3 linked regions of the Lonchura striata genome follow. The protein of the gene in region 2 binds, or shares a complex with, the protein of the main gene of each other region. Links are inferred from orthologs where the notes say so. Each region holds a gene or a part of one and is shown on either strand. Other genes may lie near its edges.

The links.
Region 1: MED24 (region 2) and MED19 share a complex: the UniProt entries of both Homo sapiens proteins name them as parts of the mediator complex. The link is inferred for Lonchura striata from reciprocal best matches to the Homo sapiens genes MED24 and MED19.
Region 3: MED24 (region 2) and MED18 share a complex: the UniProt entries of both Homo sapiens proteins name them as parts of the mediator complex. The link is inferred for Lonchura striata from reciprocal best matches to the Homo sapiens genes MED24 and MED18.

The regions. Positions count from the first base shown.
Region 1 is NC_134608.1:53,111,203-53,118,193, reverse strand, and holds MED19 (mediator of RNA polymerase II transcription subunit 19), read right to left. Parts: upstream 2,654-6,991; coding exon 2,455-2,653; intron 2,170-2,454; coding exon 1,913-2,169; intron 1,840-1,912; coding exon 1,743-1,839; intron 1,663-1,742; coding exon 1,568-1,662; intron 1,445-1,567; coding exon 1,382-1,444; 3' UTR 547-1,381; downstream 1-546. Other genes in the region: TMX2 (thioredoxin-related transmembrane protein 2), read left to right, coding at 2,880-3,068, 3,458-3,518, 3,677-3,790, 3,925-4,001, 4,076-4,182, 4,269-4,334, 4,443-4,572, 4,674-4,808. UniProt on the Homo sapiens protein: Component of the Mediator complex, a coactivator involved in the regulated transcription of nearly all RNA polymerase II-dependent genes.
Region 2 is NC_134627.1:7,031,654-7,039,243, forward strand, and holds the start of MED24 (mediator of RNA polymerase II transcription subunit 24), read left to right. Parts: upstream 1-4,512; 5' UTR 4,513-4,777; coding exon 4,778-4,907; intron 4,908-7,136; coding exon 7,137-7,219; intron 7,220-7,590. UniProt on the Homo sapiens protein: Component of the Mediator complex, a coactivator involved in the regulated transcription of nearly all RNA polymerase II-dependent genes.
Region 3 is NC_134642.1:13,964,556-13,970,796, forward strand, and holds MED18 (mediator of RNA polymerase II transcription subunit 18), read right to left. Parts: upstream 1,477-6,241; 5' UTR 1,436-1,476; coding exon 1,363-1,435; intron 1,225-1,362; coding exon 671-1,224; 3' UTR 547-670; downstream 1-546. UniProt on the Homo sapiens protein: Component of the Mediator complex, a coactivator involved in the regulated transcription of nearly all RNA polymerase II-dependent genes.

The DNA.
Region 1 (6,991 bases), on a different chromosome or scaffold from region 2:
TAAACCAGAATACTTTTTTTTATTATTATTGTTACGGATTCTATTTTTTTTCTCTTTCCGAGTTACCAGGTGTGTGTATATATAAATATCTATATATATAAATATAAATATTAAAAGAAAAAAAAAGAAGCAGAAATTATATATCTTACCCAGAGAGAGGAAGAAACTACCCTGCTCAGGGCCTGGGCCCCCCACCTTGTCCCTGTCCCCAAAGGAGGGACGTGGGGCTGCCTCCTGCACCCATGGAAGGAGCTGTGGTAGGTGCTGGGTGTCACTGTTCGTCCCTGAAGGGGGCCATTGGGTGCCAGATACCCATCCTCGGACACTCCCCTCCCTGATCCATGGTGTCCACAGCCTCCAGCCCCCCTGGGGGGCCCAGGGTGGAGGTAAGGTGGGGACAGCACCCCACACCCCCATCCCAAGCTGGTGCAGAAGCCCCAGTGTCCCCCACCCGCAGTTTTTGCTCTTTCTTTCCCCAGGTGCTGTGGTCGGGGGGGTTGTTGGTTTTGTTGCCTTTTTTTGTTTCTGTTAATGATTCCGAGGAGGTTTCTCGCTGTCGCAGGGGTGTTTTTATTTCCGCTCGCTCGGGGAAGAGGCAGGTGCATCCCCGGAAAGCAATATTTTCTCATCACATGCCAAAAAAACACAGCCAAGGAGCCTTGTGCTCCCTGTCCCCAAAGCCCTGCCGGCACTACCGGACTCTTTCTCTACGGCAATAGCTCCCGTGGCCCCACACAGCCACGCCAGGGTTTTTTATTATTATCAGCCATTTTAAAAACAAGGAATAAAAGGATATTTAATGAGCCACCCCGGGGCTGTGCGTGTGCTTTGTTTGGTGTCCAGGGATGGAGCAGCCCCTCCAAGGCTCCTGATCCTCAGGGTTTCAGCCTTGCCCCCCCTCCCGAGGGAGAGAGAGAAGGGGGTCTGGTAAGAGCTGAGCCTGGCCCAGTTCTGGGGGGGCTCCAACTTGAGGCAAACTCTGCTCCCACAGAAGGTAAGGATTTTCCAGGCATGGGAAAAGAGGCTCCAGGGAAAGTATCGTGGGTGCTGGTGAGGTTTCGGATCCAAAGGAGGGCACCTGCACGTTCCAGGGACACCTTTGTTTGGGGCTCCACTGTGACAGCTAAGGGTCACAGCAGCCATGGCCACCAGCCCCTCCTCACAGCAGAGTTTAAAAGGTGACTAAAAAAGAGGCTTTGATGCTCCAGGTTCTTCAGGTACAAAAGCTCAAGGTCAGCACCCACAGAGTCTGTGCCCCTGGTGCTGGGGGGCTGCAGGGGTGTCCTCTTAGCCGGGGGGACAGGCCAGCCCCAGTGTCCCTGGGGTCAGCCGGGGCTGTTCCCATGGGCCAGGGGATCCCCAGGGCGTCACCGGCGTGGTTTCACCGTAAGCTGCTGCTGGCCTGGGAGCTGCCCACCCCAGGGTGCTCCGGGCTGTGCCGGTTCTGCAGAGGAAGGACAGACAGAAACTGTGAGAGCTGCTGGGCAGCAGCCCCTTGGGGATGGCAACTCACAGCGCCCCTCCGAGGTCCACGGGCTGGGCACTGCACCCCGGCCTTGCCACTCACCTTCTTTTTCTTCTTCTCTTTCTTCTTCCTCTTCCGCTCTGGATCCTCCTCTTTTTTCTTCTTTTTCTTCTTGTGGTCGGAGTCTGAGGGGGTTTCTGGAGAAGCAGAAGCGCCAGATGAGCCGATGCTCTGCCAGTGCTGAAGGGGAGCAGGGGAGCGGCTGTGGCAGCCTTACCTGGGGGGACGGGGTCCTGCGTGCGGCTCTGTTTGTGCTTGTGCTTGTTCTTCTTCTTAGGCGGCTGGATGTGCATCAGCCGGCACTGCTCGGGCAGCTGTGGAGAAAAAGGACTGGTCAGACCACGCCGGGCCCCTCCCGCCCCTCCGGCTCCATAGCCCGGGGCTCACCGGGCCGGCGTGCAGGCGGAAACCGGTCAGCATGGCACCCGTGAGCGGCGTGAAGGAGCTGCCGCAGATGGGCGGCTTCTCGATGAGCGAGCGCAGGCTGCTGCTGTCGTGGGAGCCGGGCAGGTCGATCATGCCGGGCAGGTCGGGGAGGAAGTTACTGAGCTTCTCCTTCACCTTCTTGCCGCAGAACTTGTTGTAGGCGTGCTCCAGGTTATAGTGTGTGATCAAGTTGGTGCTGCCCGTCAGCTCCGTAGTGCCTGTGCGGCCGCAGGAAAACTTGGCGCGGGGGAAACGCCCCGACGGCAGCCCAGGCCCCTCTCCCCAGCCGAGCCGAGGCTCCGGGACCCCCTGCAGCCCCCGAGCACCGGGACCCCCGGCCCCGGGGCGCCCCCGCCGCCCACTTCCCCACCGGACCGCGCGTTGCGCGGCCCCGCCCCCGCAACCTCATTGGCTCCTGGCGCCGTCAGTTTCCCCCGCGGCCGCGTTTCGCCGCGCTGATTGGCCGAGCGCGGCACCCGCCCCGCCCCGCGGCCCGCCCGCACCTGGCAGCTCTCGCAGCAGGTAGAAGGGGCCGCCGGCGGCCTTGCGGGCCGCGTCTTCGCCCGGCGGCGGCGCGGCGGCCGAGGCAGCGGGCGGCGGCGCGGTTCCGGCACCCGGCGCCTTGGCGGGCCCGAATCCGAGCGCGGCGGCGGCGGCGGGCGGCGGCTCGGCCGCGCCGAACAGCGCCGAGAAGTTCTCCATGTTCCCGGCGTGCCCCGCGCCGGGCCGCCCCGCCCCGCCATTGGCCGAGCGCCGCCCCCACACCGCCCCTGCCCCCCGTTGCTAAGGGAGACCCATCCCAGCCTTCTGATTGGCCGCTCCCCTCTCTCCTCTCATTGGTCCGCGCGCGCGGGAGCGCCCGCCTCGCCGCTCGCCATTGGCCGGCGCGGGAGGCCCCGCCCCCGGCAGTGAGCGGGGCGGAGGGAAGATGGCGGTGGTGGCGCCGCTGCTGGCGCTGCTCTGGGGGCTGCCCGGGCTCTGCCGATGGCTCGCCCAGCCCTACTACCCGCTCTCCGCGCTGCTCGCCGCCGCTTTCCTGATTGTGCGCAAGGTCCCGCCGCTCTGCCGCGGGCTCCCCTCGCAGCGGGAGGATGGCAACCCTTGTGACTTTGACTGGGTGAGGCGGTGCGGCCTGTCCCCGGGCCTGTCCCCGCATCCCTGGGCTGTCCCCGGTCCTGTCCCCACAGCCCCGGCCCTGGCTTGGCTCCCCTCCTGCTCACACAGCACCCCGGCCTGGCTGAGAGAGGAGTTGCCCGGTAGCCCCTGGCGATGCTCTGCGGTGTTCCCTTACAGCCGAGAGGCACCCCCAGGCTCTGGTCCGGCTCGTGGCCCCAGGGCAGCCCCTCTGCTCGCTGTTCTCATCCCGGGGGGGATGAAGGCTCTGGGCTGTGGCAGGGCCTTGGGAACAGTAGGGCCTGGCACGGCCACGGGTCCCTGTGCCAGGCCAGGCATGGCTTCAAGGTGTCCTGGGCACTTCCAGCTCATGCTGTCCCTTCTTTGTGCCAGAGGGAGGTGGAGATCCTCATGTTCCTCAGCGCCATTGTCATGATGAAGAACCGGCGCTCCAGTGAGTCAGGGGGACTTGGGGGGCTGGGGCTGCTTATGGGGTCTCCTTCAAGGAGCACGGGGTGGTGTCTGGAGGACCAGATCCAGCCCTCCCTGAAGTTTCCCCCAGCCTTCTGGGGGCATCTGGTCCCATGCCTTATTCCTGTCTCCACATCACAGTCACCGTGGAGCAGCACATCGGGAATATTTTCATGTTCAGCAAAGTGGCCAACGCCATCCTGTTCTTCCGCCTTGACATCCGCATGGGGCTGCTCTACCTCACTCTCTGCATAGGTGAGCCTGCATGTCTTCTTGCCCTAGATCCGCCTTCTCCTGGCTCCCCCTTACTGCTCTGGGGTGGAGGAGCTCTGTCCCAGGCCCAGCCTGGCCCTCCTGGCACTGGGGGGCTCAGGGTGCTGTCATTCCAGTGTTCCTGATGACCTGCAAGCCACCCCTTTACATGGGCCCCGAATACATCAAGTACTTCAGTGACAAGACCATCGATGTGAGTATCTCCCCAGCCCTGGGGCTTTTGGTGGTCTCTGCCCTCGCCCCCCTAAGCCCATGCCCCTGTGGCAGGAGGAGTTGGAGAGGGACAAGCGGGTGACGTGGATTGTTGAGTTCTTTGCCAACTGGTCCAGTGAGTGCCAGTCCTTTGCCCCCATCTTCGCCGACCTCTCTCTCAAGTGAGTGGCACCCACTGGAATCTTGGGGGTAACGGGGCCTGTGGTCCCCTGTGTCCCTCACTGCCCTGTGTCCCCATCCTGCCCAGGTACAACTGCTCAGGACTCCAGTTTGGGAAGGTGGATGTTGGCCGGTACACGGACGTCAGCACCAGGTGTGGGGAACGCAGCCTGGGCAAGCAAGGCTCGCTCTGGGGTAGTCCCTGTGACCCTCCTGCCCTCTCAAGCTGCCCGAGGGTCACTGTGGGCTTGTCCTGACACAGGTACAAGGTCAGCACCTCGCCTCTCACCAAGCAGCTGCCCACCCTCATCCTCTTCCAGGGTGGGACAGAGATCATGCGGCGACCGCAGATCGACAAGAAGGGCCGGGCTGTGTCCTGGACCTTCTCTGAGGTGGGTGGGACCCTGCAGCCCTCTGTTCTGTCCAGCCTGTGCCTGGGAAGAAGGGGGGAGCACGAGGTCCCAGTGGTGCTGATGCTACCTCCTGGCCACAGGAGAATGTGATCCGGGAGTTCAACCTCAACGAGCTCTACCAGAAGGCCAAGAAGCAGTCGAAGCCGCGGGAGGAGGGACCTGAGGAGCCCCCAGCCGTGCCCGCTGCAGCTCAGGAGACCAAGAAGGACAAGTAGAAGCTGCCCTGTACTGTCGCCCATCACTATGTCACCATCAGCCTGGTGGCAGCGGCCCCGCGGGCCTGCCCAGCCCCGCCCGGAGCCGCTCTCCGTGCGGACTTGTCCCGGCTGAGCCCCGGGAAAGCGGCGGTGCCCCCCGGCCCCGTGCGGGCAGGGCGGTAGGAGGGGCCCCGCCTCGGTTAACGCTCGCTCATCATCCATCGCTGACAATAAACGGTCCGTGCCGTGTCCCGTGACCCGTGTCCGTGTCCGTGTCCGTGTCCCCGGCCCGGGCCCGCGCATGGGGGCGGGGCCGTGCGGAGCCGGCGCGCTCTGATTGGCCGGCGCGGCGCGGGCGGAACCGGAGCCCACCGGAGGCTCCGGTGCCCTCCTCGGCCCCGCCCGTTCCGGCCCCGCCCCGGCGGCGCGCGCTCCCGCACGTGGCCAGCGGCCGGTAGGAGCGCCGCTGCTGCCCCGGGCCCCGCCGCCCTGCTCCCCCCAGCCGCACACCGCGGCGGGATCCCTGCGGAGCCGCCTCCCGCCCTCCGCAGCGGGATCCCGGCGGGGGCCCTCATTTCCCCCGTGGCGCATCGCCGGGGACTGGCCCATCCGGGCCCTCTCCCACAGTAGTGTCCCCACAGGGACCCACTTTTCACTCCCCGGACAGCGTGGTACCTGAGCTCCCTTCTCACCCCGGAGTGGCATTCCTGCAGCCGGCGTAGGCTCCACCGCCTCGGCTGTCCCAGGATGGCTCCCCGCGGGAGGAAGCGCGGAGCCCAGCAGCCGGCGGCGGCCGAGGCACCGGAGACAGCGGGAGCTCCGCAGAAGCGGGCGCGGGCCCAGGCCCAAGCCCAAGACGAGTGCAGCCCCGGGGACATCGGCCCCCGTGTCGTCATCGAGCACTGGTGAGCGGCCGAGGCGCCGAGGGCGGTGTGAGGCCCCTGGGTGCCCCGGGGTCGCTGACCGCCGTGTCCCCGCAGCAAGAGCTGACGCGTGTTCGGGCGGAACGCGGCGGCGGTGAGCGCGGCCCTGCGCGGGGCCATGGCGCACCTCCCCGTGGACATCAACCCCCGGCCGCCGCGCAGGAACAGCTTCGAGGTGTCCCTGGTGAAGGAGGACGGCAGCAGTAAGTGCTGGGCAGGGGGGCGGGGGGCTCCCCGGCACCCTTGATCCCATAATCTCCCTTACCTCTGCAGCCGTGGAGCTGTGGAGCGGTATCGGGAAGGGGCCCCCCCGCAAGCTGAAGTTTCCCCAGCCGGAGACAGTAGTGGAAGCCCTGAAGAGCAGCTTGGCATAGAGGTGTTGGCCAGGTGAGCGGGGATGGGACTGGGATGGGATAGGGCAGGGATGGGACCAACAGGGACCGACTTCCCTCTCTCCACAGCCAAGCCAGGATCGGCACAGACGGCATGAGCGTCCATGAAGAGGCGAGACCAAGTGGGGGCATCCACCTGCCCCAGTCCCGTCCCTGATGTTGCAGCTCTGCCACTGCCAGACCCCTGGCTCCCTCCACACCCCGTTGTCCCCCCAATCTCCAATAAAGTTTAGTACTCCACAGCACAGCTTCAGCCCTTTATTCCAAGGACATGCAGCCCAAGGGGTACAGGCACTGGTGGGGGGAGAGGCAGAGCCAGCCCCCTCTAGGTGAGGACATCCACCTCCTCTTCTGACTCAGATGAGGGACTGGGCCAGAGGCACACTGTGCCAGGGGGCAGGAATAGTTCCCCTGTTCCCACATCCACCTCTTCCTCCTTGGTGTCACTTCCAGGAGTTCCTGGGAGCACTGCCTGCTGGCAGCCCTGCGAGGACACAGGGGAGTCCCCATGCTGCTGCATCCCATTTTCACTGGGGGACTGCTGGGTTGGGGAGCACTTGCTCACCTGCTCCCGTGCATCCACATTCTGGGGGGGCTGTGCTTCTGTCACCCCCACATCCCCCACCATCACTGCCGGAGGCACGGCCTCCTGCACCACCTCCCAGTGCCCCCAGTGCTGCACCTTCCGCAGCCTCATCCGCCCGATGGGGCTGGGGTGTGAGTGCCCCAGAGAGTGTGGCTGCCTCTGGGGGGACACCGCAGAGCTGGCACTGCCAGGCTCAGCTGAGTCAGGTGCCCCCACGGTGGAGACTTCCTGAGTGGAATGCAGGCAGGAGCGGTCGAGCTGCCGCTGGGGTCTCAGTCTCACCAGGCGTCCTCCCCAGAG
Region 2 (7,590 bases):
CCCCGCCGCCCGCCCGCTCCGCTCCGCCGCGGCCGCAGCCCCCTCCGCCGGCCGCAGCCGCTCCCTGCACCCGCCGCGCCCGGCCCCGCGTGGGGACCCACGGGGGAGCGGCGGGGTCCGGGCGGACCGCGGGAGGGTGACACCGGGGTGGGCAGAGAGGCACACGGGGATCACGGGGTGGGGATGGTGGCCGTGGCAGGGTGCGTGGTGGCAGCCCTGACGGTGCCCACGGGGATGTGGTGACAGCGACAACGAGGACGGGGGGTGGTGAGCACAGGGTGGGGGGCTGTGTGCAGGGGGGGCTAGGGGAAGTGGCCACGGGGGTTGGGGACGGCACCCACGGGGAGGTGGGGACAGTGCCCACGGGAGTTTGGGGCCCCGGGATCCTGGGGCGGTGCTCGTGGTGGGGTGAAGCTGGTGCCCACAGGAGTTTGGGACGGTGCTCACGGGGATGTCGTGACAGTGACAACAGGGACGGGGGATGGCGACCACCGCGTGGCGGGCTGTACCGAAGGGGGACCGGAGACGGTGCCCAGGGAGGCCCAGGGGGATGCCCGTGGCAGGGCGGGGATGGTACCCACAGGCACTGGGAACAGCACCCACGGGGATGCTGTGACAGTGACAACCTGGTGTCCACGAGGGCAGGGCACGGCACCCGCAGGGAGCTGGGGACGGTGCCCACGGCGATGCTGTGATAGTGACAGTGACCCTACAGGATTTGGGGACAGCACCCAGGAAGGGCTGGGACGGTGCCCTCGCTGGGTGGCGGTGGGGTGGAGATGATGCTCAAGGAGATCTGGGACAGTCCCCATGGGGCTTGGTGACAGTGCCCACGAGGCAAGGGGCAGCTCCACACCCCGGATGCCCAGCCCGGCCCGGGGAGGGGCACACACCAGACACGGGGGTCCCCCTCAGATCCACACCGCCCCGGGCAGGAGACAATCCCGCAGGACACCCGCACGTCGGGGGGCCCTGCCCCTGCGCCCCCCGGGGGATGTGTGGGACGGGGAACAACGGGGGTCGTACCCCGCTGTGGGGCCGGACCCGGAGCCGCCGTGGGGCTGGGGATGGCGGCGGCACCGGGAGCCCGGGGGGGATCACTGGGGAGGGCGCTGAGGGTCGCCCACCGACCCGGCCGTGCCACCCCACCCCCTTCCCAGCAGCCCGTGCTCCCAGCCCCCCCTTTTCCTCCCCGGACTACACGTCCCGTCATGCCCGGGCTTAAAGCGGCTCTGCCGCCCCCCTCATCCCCGCCCGGAGCCCCGCAGCTCGGCCCTGGGACCCCCGGGGGGTTCAGTCTGGCCGCCCCCCACCCCCCAGCCCCCTGGGTACCCCCCTCCCTGGGCTGCACGGGCGGTGCGGTGATACCCAGGGGATGAGGGGGATGGGGGTCTCCCGGGCATGAAGGCTTCTAGGAGAGGAGGGTCTCCAAGGGATGAAGGTTTCCTTGGGAGGGGTGTACCCAGGGGATGGTTTCCCACACTTGGGGAGCGCAGGCAACACCCAGGGAAGGTGAGGGGGGGGTCCCCACGGGCCAGCGGCTGTCAGGGCACGGTGCTGCTCAGAATGGGGACAACAAGGGGGCAGTGCTACCCGGGGATCTCCAGGGGATGGTGGTCCCCAGGTAATGCGAGTCCCCAGGGGAAGGTGGTCGCCAGGGGATGGGGGTACCCAGCGGATGGAGGAGAGCGACACCTGGGACTGCCACAGAACCCATGGACCTCCTGCTGCCCCCGGTCCCCACAGGCCGGTGGTCCCCATAGCCCCCATCGATCCCCTGGCCCCCCGGGTCACCCTGGGGCCCTCATCCGCACGGCTGGCGGTCCCAGCGTGGCGGGGCAGCAGCAGCGTGACGGCCCCCCCGTCCCTCCCCGCCTGTTCCGTACACTTTATCCTCAGCAAACACGGCTCGGCCACGGCCCCCCGCAGCCGTCTGCCCGCGATAAGGCTGTGGCTGAGCTCGCCTGCCCCCAGCCTATGGGGCTCAGCCATCTCAACACCACCTCATGTCCCCAGATCCCCCTGCTTGAGGTTGCCTGACAGCCTCTATCCCATTGGGGAAACTGAGGCAGAGCTGGAGTTTGCCTGTGGCCTCTCTGGAGCACACAGACAGGCGCTTCTCGCGCTCATCACCAGCTCCCCGTCCCCACTGAGGTTCCCCCAGTGCCACCACAGGTCTCTGCACTGCCCCAGTAGAGTGGGGACCTTGTGCCCTGTGGCAGACCCTGATCTGAGGGGATTTGGGATTTAGAGGGGCTGTGCTGCTCTAGTTGGCTGGAACACGCTCATTAAAGTTCACCCCGCTGCTCTGTGGCAGAAACACTAAATATAGCCCCAAGTCACCAGTGGTGCCCCCCAGGACCCCCAAGAAGGTGATGACACCAGGCACCTCCATCCCCAGCACTGGCTACCCCCATGGGGCAGCACCCACCACCAACTGGGGGGTCCGGACGGCCCCATGGGGGTGTCCCTCTATCCCGGATCAGATCCTTCACACCCCACCAAACACCAGTCAGCAGCCATGTGCCCCCCGGCAGGACGCGGCACCAGAGCTCCCAGCCACCCCACTGACCCCGTGGGAAGGGGAAGCCCCTCACGCTGGCCCCCGCTCGCCCCTCGCTTGCCCCCGGCGCTGGGAACGGCCCCAGCCCCTTCCGGCCCCCCCGGCCCCGGGCCGGAGGCAGCTGTGCCGGGGCTCCCTGCCAAGGCGCCGAGGCTTCGACGCCTTCCCCCCAGCCGGCCGCCCCCGCGGCACCCCGGGGAGCTGCGACCCCCCGAGCACCCCCTGCCACCCCCGACCCTGCCAGCACCACCACCACCACCCCTGCCCCGGAGTTTGGGGGTGCTGTGCCGGGGTTGGGGGGGTCCAGCAGGGCTCCTCAGAGCCCCTCCTGCCTGGAGACCCCCGTGGTGTCTGTTCCACGGCCAGCTGTGGGAAGCGACCCCCCCCTTGCACAGGAAATCCCTCCTCATGGATAGGGCTCCCCCCCGGCGGGACCCCCCCGCTGCCGGGGTGTCCCCCCCGCCGCCGGGGCCCCTCGCCGCCCGGGCAGCCGCTGGCCCGCTTAATCCCGGCCCCGGCACGGGGGGATTTGCTGCGCCCCGGCCCCATGAATGATTAACCGGGGAATTAAGGGGCCGCGAAACCCCCCCGGAGCAGCGCGGAGGGGGGGGGGGGTGTGACTGAGCTCCCACCCCAGCCCCCCTGGAGGTCTTCACCCTGCTCCTGAGCCTTGGGGGTTCCCTTGGGGAATTCTGGGGGTACTGAGGGTTTTGGGGGGGCTGGGAGTGTTCTAGGGGTGCAGAGGCCTGGGGGTGTTTGGGTTGCAGGAGGGGTGCTGGGGGGCTATTGGGGGCATTCTGGGAGGGTTGGTGCGCTGGGAGTACTGGGGGGGGCTGTCAGTTCTGGGGGGCTGCCCCCCAGCCTTGCTCCCCATCCTCCCGTTGCCATGGCGACGGCTGGCACCATCCCTGGGGATATTTTTAGCTGCTGGTACTGCAGGGAGGGGGTGGGGGGCAGCCCAGGCCCATGGCGGCGCCACGTGTGTGCACACACGTGTCTGCAGCACACGGCCTTGCACACGCGTGTGTGCCCACCCCTGCGCTGGTACCTGTGCGTGCACACCCGCCCGGGGGTGCTGGTGTCTGCGCGTGTGTGCAACAACACACACAGACACACACCGCACACACTCATGTGCATCCACACGTGTGAACACACCCGCCTGTGTCACACGCAGTCCTCAGTGCACGCCTGTGGTTGCACACGCACGCGGGCACACCTCTGTGCTCACACACTGGTGTGCACACCTGTGCTCATGTGTGTGCGTGTGTGAACATCTGTACATCTGTGTGTACACACGTGCACACACACTGTCCTGTGTGCACACCTGCACAAACGCACAGAGAAACATGCTGGGAGATCCGTGCTGCCACCCCAGAGCCTTTGCACACTCACGCCTTTGCACCATTTTTGCACATCCCTTGTTTTTACACTTACCCCGTTTGTACATCCCCTGTTCTTACACTTACCCCGTTTGTACATCCCCTGTTCTTACACTCACCCTGTCTTTGCACAACTCCTCATTTTCACACGTATCCTTCCCCCCGTGTTTGTACCCCCCCACCTTTCCACACCCCTGCTATTTGCACACCCGCCCCTATTTGCCCACTCCCGTGTTTTCAACCCCCCATTCTCACCCCGTGTTTGCACACACACCCTATTTGCACACTCACCTCTGGTGTTTGCATGTCAAATCCCATTTCCCGATTTTCACACTCACCCCATGTTTCCACACACACACCCCGTGTTAGCCCACCCTCCCCCGTTTGCTCACCCACACGGTGTTTGCACTCTCACCTCGGCGTTTGCACACTCGCCCCCCGTTCCCACCCACCCTTTGCACACTCACTCCCGCCCCCGCCCGCCCTAGCCCCCCGAACTACCACTCCCATCACCCCCTGCGCCCGCCGCGCCCCGCCGCCCAATCAGCGTGCGGCTTGTTGGCAGGCGCCGCAATGGCGGTGCCCAAGCGCTGAGGGCGGCGCCGGGCCGCGCTGAGGGGCGGCGGGACCCGGCGGGACCCCCGGGCACCGAACTTCGGGGGCTCCGAGGGGTTCCGGGGCTGCTCCGAGGGGCTCCTCAGGGCCGGGGAGCGGGCAGACCCCCAGCTGCTGCCCTCCGAAGCCGCTGGGCCGCTTCCCCGCTCTGTCCGGCCCTGCCCGGCCGGGTCAGGGCTCCGTCCCCCTTCGCCTTGAGCTGTCGGGCCGCGGGGTGACCATGAAGGTGGTGAACCTGAAGCAGGCCATCCTGCAGGCCTGGAAGGAGCGCTGGAGCGACTATCAATGGGCCATAAACATGAAGCGGTTCTTCCCCCGCGGAGCCACCTGGGACATCCTCAACTTGGCAGGTCGGGGGGAGGCGGGGGGTTCCCCCTCCTTACTGGGCACACTGGGATGTTTTGGGGGTCCTCACGCGTTTATTTGGGTGTTGTCCCCAGTGTTCCCCTCTTTGGGGTGCAGGCAGGGGTATTATGGGGTCCCTTGTCGCATTTTGGGTCCCCACTTCCCACACCACTTTTCACGCCAAAATTCCCATTCCCAACCATGTCAGTCCATTCCCAACTGTCCCCCCCCACCCCGCTGTCCCCGTTTTGGGATCATTCCCTCCTTTTCCCCCATGGGAGGGTTCAGGGGTCAGCACAGCGTAGCTTTTGGGACCGAGAGAAACAGCTTTGAGTTGAGCCAGGAGAGAATTATGTTGGAAATTAGGAGAAATTTCTTCACTGAAAGGGTGGTTAGGCGTTGGAACAGGCTGTGGTGGAGTTGCCATGTGGATGTGGCTCCAGGGCACTTGGGTTATGGTGAGATGCTCTTGGAGGTCTTTCCAGCCTTAATGATTCCCCGATTTCGTGATTCGAGCACTGCACAGGAGCCAGGTGCTGCTCCCAAGGCTGCTTCCCAGCCCAATTCAAGGGCATTTCACAGAAATCCTGCCAAAAGCTAGGACTGGTTTAAAGATTTGCCAGGCTCTCTTGCTAATTATAGAAACTTGGTGCTGGGATTTTCCCTGTGCAGCAAGTCCCGGGATAAATAAACAGAGCTGCTGCTCCAGGGAGTTTAAAGGAACCAGCCCCACACAGGCAGCAGCTCTCACTCCTCTGAGTGTGGGGAACTTTCCCCTGTGCATGTTTTTCCCTTCTCTTCATCCTCTCATTGGATTTTCTGTCAGTGTCTGTTTTTTGTCACTGCTGAGCTGTCCCTGCTGGGTTTGTCAGCTCTGAGGTGCGGCTGGAGGGGCCAAATGGAGCTGTGGCCGTGGGGGGATGGATTTGCTCTGCATGGATTTGCTGGGGGTGGGGGTGGTTGGCTTGAGGGCCAGTCCTGCTGCTGCCCAGCTGGTCCCTGAGGCTCCCAGGTGTCTGTTCCCACCCTGGTGGCACTGGCTCCTGCTCCTCTGGCAGTGAGGCCTGCGGGGTACTTGGCTTGGGCTCGTCTGTGTATCCCCAAAAACAGACGCAGGGAGGATAATTCCCTATTATTTCTGCAGGAATGGGTTTCTCCTGGCTCACATTTACCCAAGGCTCAGTGGCTTCTTTGGAGCAGGAGGAGAAGGAGCTGTATCCCCTTTTCCTTTTGGGAGCCACGCGGGCAGGGTGCTGGCCGTGACCCTGGGTATTGTGTGCACACAGGGAGAGCCCATTCCCGAGGTCCCAATGGCTGGACCAGCAGCTCCCTTCCTCACCACAGCCCCCAGAGCTGTCCTTTCCCGAGCTCGTGCCCCTTTCAGCTTGGAAGTACAAAGGAGGGAAAGCTGGCACGAGCTGCCAGGATCACGGCAGGGCCTGGCAGATCGCTGCTGACACGTCTGCAGCAGGGAGCAGCATGTGGCTGGCTCGTGGTGGCACTCTGGGATGGGCTGGGGAGGGGACGGCTGCCACCAGCCTTCTGTCCTCATCCCAGACGCTCTTGGCCCAGGATTCAGCCTTGGAGCGAGACCCAGGGAGTCTCCTTCTCCTGCACTCGGGATCCGGTGGTGGCTTCTCCTCCTCGGCTTTGGGGTGACAACTTCCCACCCGGCTGCTGCTCCCCCTTTCACATCTGGGTGCTCTGACCTACTTGCAGCCTGTGCTGCAGCCCGGGGCCTGCTCGGGGTGGTGCTTCCTGCACTCTGCCATGGCTCAAATGGACAATTAAAGGCTTGGCTGAGCAGATGGGACGGGCAGAGCCCCTCAGGCCACCGAGGGCCAGACGGGCAGGGCTGCGCCCAGTGCAGGGGACTGGTGGCCCCAAGCTCAGCCCCAGGTGCCTGGGCAAAAGACACTCAGTGGAGGCTGCAGGAGCCTCCTGGCAAGAACTGGGAGGGAGGGGAATGTGGAGAGCAGCAGCAGAAATTTCAGGGCTGGAGCGCTGAAGAGCTGTGTTAGCAGGAGGCTGCGAGCTCTGCCTGAATTATTCACTGGCTTGTGCCCGTCAGGGATTAGGAAGTTGTGGGATTCAATGAATTTAGGAGAAAAACTGGTGTGGAGTCACTGTGGTTGGTACAGTTGGACTTTGCCAGCTTCCCTGTGGAATGAGGGGAGAGCAGATTGTGTCCGTGTGTTCCCCATGTGCTGACCTGGGACCCTCTTTCCTTGCAGAGGCTCTCCTGGAGCAGGCCATGATTGGGCCATCCCCAAACCCACTCATCTTATCCTACCTGAAATACGCCATCAGCTCCCAGGTAAGGACCTGCTGGTGCTGCTGCTCACCTTGCAGCCTCGGTGAGGTTGGGCAAAGCAACTGGGGTGTTGGTGGTGGGCAGGCACCCCACATCTCCCATGTGAGCCTCTCCTGGGCTGGGCAGATACCCCAAACCGCCATCTGAGCCTCTCTGGGGCTGGGGCAGGCAGTGGAGGGCTCAGCGCGTGCCCTGGGCAGGGATGTTTCCATAAATAGCCTCTGCCATCGCCCAGGGTGGGAATTCTGCCCCCCGAGAGGCTCTGCGCTCGCTGTGAGCGCCACGCTTTCACATCCTGGCATTTAATATCGCCTAAAGTTTGTGTGAAACACATCAGCGATCACCTAAAAATGTCTGTTTGGATTTGTGCCGGG
Region 3 (6,241 bases), on a different chromosome or scaffold from region 2:
TTAATTAGGATTATCCTAACCAATTCCAATGAAAATAATGGAAGACCATTAAAAGATGGGAAAAACCACTTGCAAATGTTAATATTACTAGATTTTCTTCTACTTCTAACTTCGGTTACATCATAAGAAACAGTTTCCCTAACAAGTACCTGTTCCTGTCACATAAGCTTTGGTGAAGAGGTGTACAGTTAGCTGCCCTTTTATGCAGCAGTTTCTGTGTTTATGCTTGTGTGAAACAGCATCTCCTGCATTAAACAGTATTAACTTCCTCTATTACTGAAAAGTTTTGGATGACTAAGTAGGATACACAAATTGTGCTTTAAAAATCTTAAGACAGCAGTGGGATCTGAGTACACGGAGGGATGAATTCCAGTAAGTCTGACATTTTTAGACTGTTAGGCAATAGGCTTTTAAAGTTATCTCCCATGCAAAAGAAAGAACACTATGGGTATTAACATTTACTGATTTTTTTAACAGTGCTAATTTGAAGTGTCCACTTCTGCTCATATTCACAAGTGAAAGAAAAAAACACTCAGGAATTGCAGCTGCCAAAACTGATACATAGTACTTTATTCCCTTCTCCCTGTTTTGATTTGCCCACAAAACGCTTTTTAGAAAAACATCATTTTCTGAAACACAAAACCAGTGCCTTAATGCCCCAGACTGTCAATCACATTAGTCTTTTGGGGTCAATTTTCTCCAGGTGTACTAGAGGCTTCAGCTGCTCAGCAAAGTTCCTCATGTCATCAGAAACAATGTCCTGCCCTGCTGGCGCAACGACATTGAGCTCCACCAAGTAGGAGAGGGAGAGCGGCTCGATGCTCTCTGTGTTTCCTGGCATCAGTATACGGAAGATCTTGTACACCATGATCTTCATGATGCCCTTGCGGAATACGTGCCCTTTGGCCACGAACTCGTGGTCCATGCGGAAGCCCATCTCCACCAGGAAGTCCGTCAGGTTGTCGGAGGTGGCGATGTCCACGCAGTTTCGCACCAGCGCGTGGCGGTTCTTGTCGCCTATTTCGGGCTGTCCCAGGTAGCGCAGGTGCCAGGGCATCCCGCTCTTGTCCATGGAGCGCCGGGCGCGCAGCACGAAGGGGCTGGCCTGCTGCCCCTTCAGCAGGAACACCATCTCGTGGTCCAGGAAGGTCTCGGGCTCCATGTTGTCGCACAGCCCGCGCAGCCGGTGCAGGAGGCTCTCCAGGCTCTGGTCCAGCACGCTCCCTGCGGAGACAGCGCCGCGACCGTCGCCTCGCACGGGCCGAGCTGGGCTCCGCACGCGGCGCGCCCGCCCCAGCGCCTTCCGGCCCGCCCGTGCGCGGCGCCAGCCCCCCACCCGCTGCTTGGTCCCGCCGCGCCTACCTTGGAGCAGGTACTCCATCATGTTGATGGTGCCGCCCGTGACGGGCATCATGGTCACCGGCGGCGCCTCCATCGCGCTGCGCTCCGGCCCCGCGGCCCCGCCGGCAGCGCCGCGCAGAGCGGCGGCAGCGCCCCCTAACGGCCCGGCGGGCGGGGGCGGCGCCGGCCCGCCCCGCTCCGCTCACACCGCCCCGCCCCGCTCCCCTCACACCGCCCCGCTCCGCTCACACCGCCCCGCTCCGCTCCCCTCACACCGCCCGGCCCCGCTCCGCTCACACCGCCCCGCCCCGCTCACACCGCCCCGCTCCGCTCCCCTCACACCGCCCGCCCCGCTCCGCTCACACCGCCCCGCTCCGCTCCGCTCACACCGCCCCGCTCCCCTCACACCGCCCCGCCCCGCTCACACCGCCCCGCCCCGCCCCGCTCCCCTCACACCGCCCCGCTCCCCTCACACCGCCCCGCTCCGCTCACACCGCCCCGCTCCGCTCACACCGCCCCGCTCCGCTCACACCGCCCCGCCCCGCTCCCCTCACACCGCCCCGCTCCGCTCACACCGCCCCGCTCCGCTCACACCGCCCCGCTCCCCTCACACCGCCCGGCTCCGCTCACACCGCCCCGCTCCCCTCACACCGCCCCGCTCCCCTCACACCGCCCCGCTCCGCTCACACCGCCCCGCTCCGCTCACACCGCCCCGCTCCCCTCACACCGCCCCGCTCCCCTCACACCGCCCCGCTCCGCTCACACCGCCCCGCCCCGCCCCGCTCCGCTCACACCGCCCCGCTCCGCTCACACCGCCCCGCCCCGCCCCGCTCCGCTCACACCGCCCCGCTCCGCTCACACCGCCCCGCTCCGCTCACACCGCCCCGCTCCCCTCACACCGCCCCGCTCCCCTCACACCGCCCCGCTCCGCTCACACCGCCCCGCCCCGCCCCGCTCCGCTCACACCGCCCCGCTCCGCTCACACCGCCCCGCCCCGCTCCGCTCACACCGCCCCGCTCTCCTCACACCGCCCGGGGGCCGAGCGCTGGAGCAGGCTGCCAGGGAGGTTGTGGAGTGTCCCTCTCTGGAGCCATTCAACACCTACCTGGATGTGTTCCTGTGTCAGCTGCTCTGCGTGACCCTGCCTCAGCAAGGGGGCTGGACTGGATGATCTGCAAAAGTCCCGTCCAGCCTTAACGATTCTGTGATGCCGTGTTTTTTCTTTTATTCTAGTTTGCCCAAAGCCGGGAATCAGGAGGTAACCCACGAAAGGCTGGCTCTGTGATCATCAAACCTCTACACTATTTATACCTTTTAACAAACCAAGGTGTCAGCATTTGTTAGCTGTAAGTTATACCACTTTTCTCCTAATTAGCACTCAAACCCTATTTTCTAGTTGTGTGTCTTGCTTCTCCATGAGAAGAGCCCTTTTGGTCTGCAGGCGTGGTTTTGCCTCCCTTGGGTCAGGGTGTGGTGGAATTGCCTTCCCTCAGTCAGCTCCTGGCATCCTGACTTCACTCCTGGCAGATCTCATCCAGAGAGTCCCTGCATCTTGGGATTCTCTTCTCTTTTCCTCAAAGCAAAAGACGAGCCAAGTATGCAACATTCACAGTGCGATTGCTTAATCATAACTGTTCAGCTACAGCTTCTGATTAACAACTGGAAAAAAAAAAATTGCAAAGTTTGGTTCAAATCTTGAGACCTCAAATCTTGAGGGCCCCAAATCTCAAAGGGCTTGCTGCCAGCCTGACCTCGGCGCCGGTGGCACAGCAGGAGGGTTGGGAGGCCAGCAGGCAGGACCAGCCATCAGGGGTCATTGTGGCTGCACCCACATCACTCCCCAGGGTGGCACATGCAATTAATTCTGTGGAAAATATCCACCAAAAATGATCCAATCTGTCTCACAGCGACAGCAAAGTGTCTGATGCTCTGGGGTGTTGTGGGCCAGGCTTCAGCTCCTGCAGCAGAAGGCAGAAATCTCATCTGGGCCTGGTAGGATGTACACCATTTCTATGCAGAAAAGCCCGTTTTCAGAAAGTGATGGAAATGCCCAGTATGTACCAGCTGAAATTACTCCTGTCAATACCCAAAACAGAGTTATAAATGTGACATTTCCCTTAGCAGTCTTTTGTGTAACAAACCTTTGTGCCACACAGAATGTGAACAGTATGTCCATTTTTCATGTATCAGTATCTACACAGTGGTGGTATCCCCTGACACCCCCCATAAAAATTATATAAATACTGGTACAAGCCAAAGACCTGCAAATGAGAAATGGCATAGTCATGCCCTCCCAGTGCAGTCATGGTTAATTTTATCCTGACGTTCCAGCTTGTGAAAGTGTGGACTGACCTTGTAGAATTCTCCTCCAGGAGGATAAACTGAGTAAGGAAGAAATTATTTCTTGTGAGGGTGCTGAGATGCTGGAACTTGGAAGTTATGGCTGGACCATGACTGGAAGTGTTCAAGGTCAGGTTAGATGGGGCTTTGAGCAACCTGACCTTATGTTTCTGGTGAAGGATAAAGAAAGAGGTGATTTTTTTCCATTCTGCAACTGCTGCCTGGTATGAGCTGGAGGACAAAGGAAAGGAAAGCTGCAAGGAGGAGAAAGGAAACATGACTGGCTTCTGTTGACACTCAGGTTCTGTCTGGTGCACTGTGTCCATGGGAGAGGCCTCCAGGAGAGGAAGAAAACTGCATCAGGTCTGTTTCACTGAGTGTCATCAGACCACACAACAGGAAGGGTGTCAGGAAGGAACATGTCAGGTACATCAGGCTGATGCCTTTTTTAGCCTGTGGACTTGGTAATGTTAGGTTTAGAGTTGGACTCAATGATTCTAAAATTCTCTTCCAACTTAAACAATTCTGCAATTCTCTGGTGTAGTGAAGGTGTGCCTGCCAGCAGTAGGGGGGTTGGAAATTAATGCTCTTTTAAGTCCCTTCCAACCCATATTCTTCTCTGATGCTAAGAGCTGATGTTTACTTGGCTGTTGTGGATCTCACTTCTTGTGGGTATTGGTGCCAAGATCCAGATTTTCTATTTTTATACAGGCTGTGGCTGGGATGAAAGTAGTTGTCTCCATAGCAGCCTGTATGAGGCTGTGTTCTGGATTTGTGACTAAGAACATTGGTTACACAGCAGTACTTTAGCTGTTGCTGAGGAGGGGTTGCCAGCATCAAGGTTTTATTTTTGTCCTTTTTCTCCTGCATTCACTGCCAGTGAGTAGGCTAGAGGCAAGTAAGAGGCTCTGAAGGAACAAAGGGAGTCACATCTGATCCCAGCTGACCACACCAATATTCCATACCAGACTGCATTCTGCCCAGCACCAAAAGCTCTGGGAAGAAGATGAGAAAGTGGGGACATTCATGGTTATGGCATTTGTTTTCCCAAATAACTATTAGTGTGCCAAAGCTCTTCTTGCTGATAGGGAATTGTGAATAAATTCTTTATTTTGCTTTCTGGGTGTGGCTTCACTTTACCTCCTAAGCAGTCTCCATCTGAATCTATGTCTTCTCATTTTTGCCTTTACTCTTTCCTGTCCTACGTGAGTGGGGGCAAACAACAATAAGGTTGTTTACCTACCTACCATATTTGTCTAGAAGGCCTGAATCCTAGTGGGAATGGAATGGGAGCAACCTGGGGCTAAAGCTTTGCTTAAGAGCAGACTGAAGTAAAGCTGGTGGTTAAGATAGGATGCTAAGTAGTTTTGTGTTATGTAATACAAAAGCCTTGGAGCACTGAAGTGAGGTCAGCTTTGGAAGCAGGCCTCCCCCATTCCACAGGGTGTAAGCAAGGTGAGCCTGGGGCAGCAGTCATCCCCAGGCAGGATGACAAAGTATGGAACTGTCAGTGCTAGGGGGGTCACTGGATGCAGTGTCACCACTCTGCAGGGCAAGGTGGACCTGACAAGAACATGAACTTGCCCTGAGGCAAGACAGGATCCCAAACCATCGTCTTTTTTCAGCAGGTATAAACCTGCAATATAAACCTTCCCTAACCAAAGCCAAAGGAGAAAGAAGATATGACCTTGAAAATGGTAAGCCATGTCCTAAAGGAGATGGGAGAGGATCACAGATCTGAAAAACACTCTGAATAGTAGCCAGAGCTCTCACTGCACCCCAAAAGGCAGCTGGAAGGAGTAAGACAGGCCCTCTACTACAGCTTGTCCCAGGGCTCATATGGTATTTTTTCATACGGTATTCACCATATGAGCAAGGTTCACATCAAGCACAAAAATTGTCCAGGGTCTGTGCACTGACACACCCAGTGGACTTGTACACTCTGAGAAAGGAACTGGTGTCCCACAGCACTCTTGTCCAGGAATCGTTGTGCCTGCCTAGGAATGCCTGTGCTGGAGCCTGGCAGAGCCACATCCCCCCAGGCCAGCACCTGCTGTACCAGGCTTCTGGTACCACAGCCACGTCAGGGTGCGTGTGGTGTGCATCCCTGTGCTGGAGCTGCTCCCTCCATCAGGAAGGTTCAGTAGTGCTCAGTTCACTGACAGCACCTCGCAGCAGCTGGGGAAATCCAAGTGGGCAACAACTGTGTGGCTAGAAGCAGCTGGGGCTGCAGTGCTTGCAAGCCTCACAGTGCTGAAACTTCCACACCAGGCAGCAGAAGGGGACTGGTGTCTTACAGGGTAAAATAGATTCAGCACACAGAGGAGAAAGGAGGTGAAGAGAGAAGCAAAGTGGTACCAGAGTCAAACACACTGTTTCATATGTTCTTTTTTAATTCTAGGGTTTTAAAAGATTTGGGAATTATTTCACCATTATCAATGGTGAAAGTACAACACTGAAGTTACAGCAATTCTAGAAATTTGATTCTAGACAGGTGGTTTGATTTTGCCAAACAAGCCCCAGCAGAAGGTATCTCTAATGCTGCAGTGAGTTAGTTCTC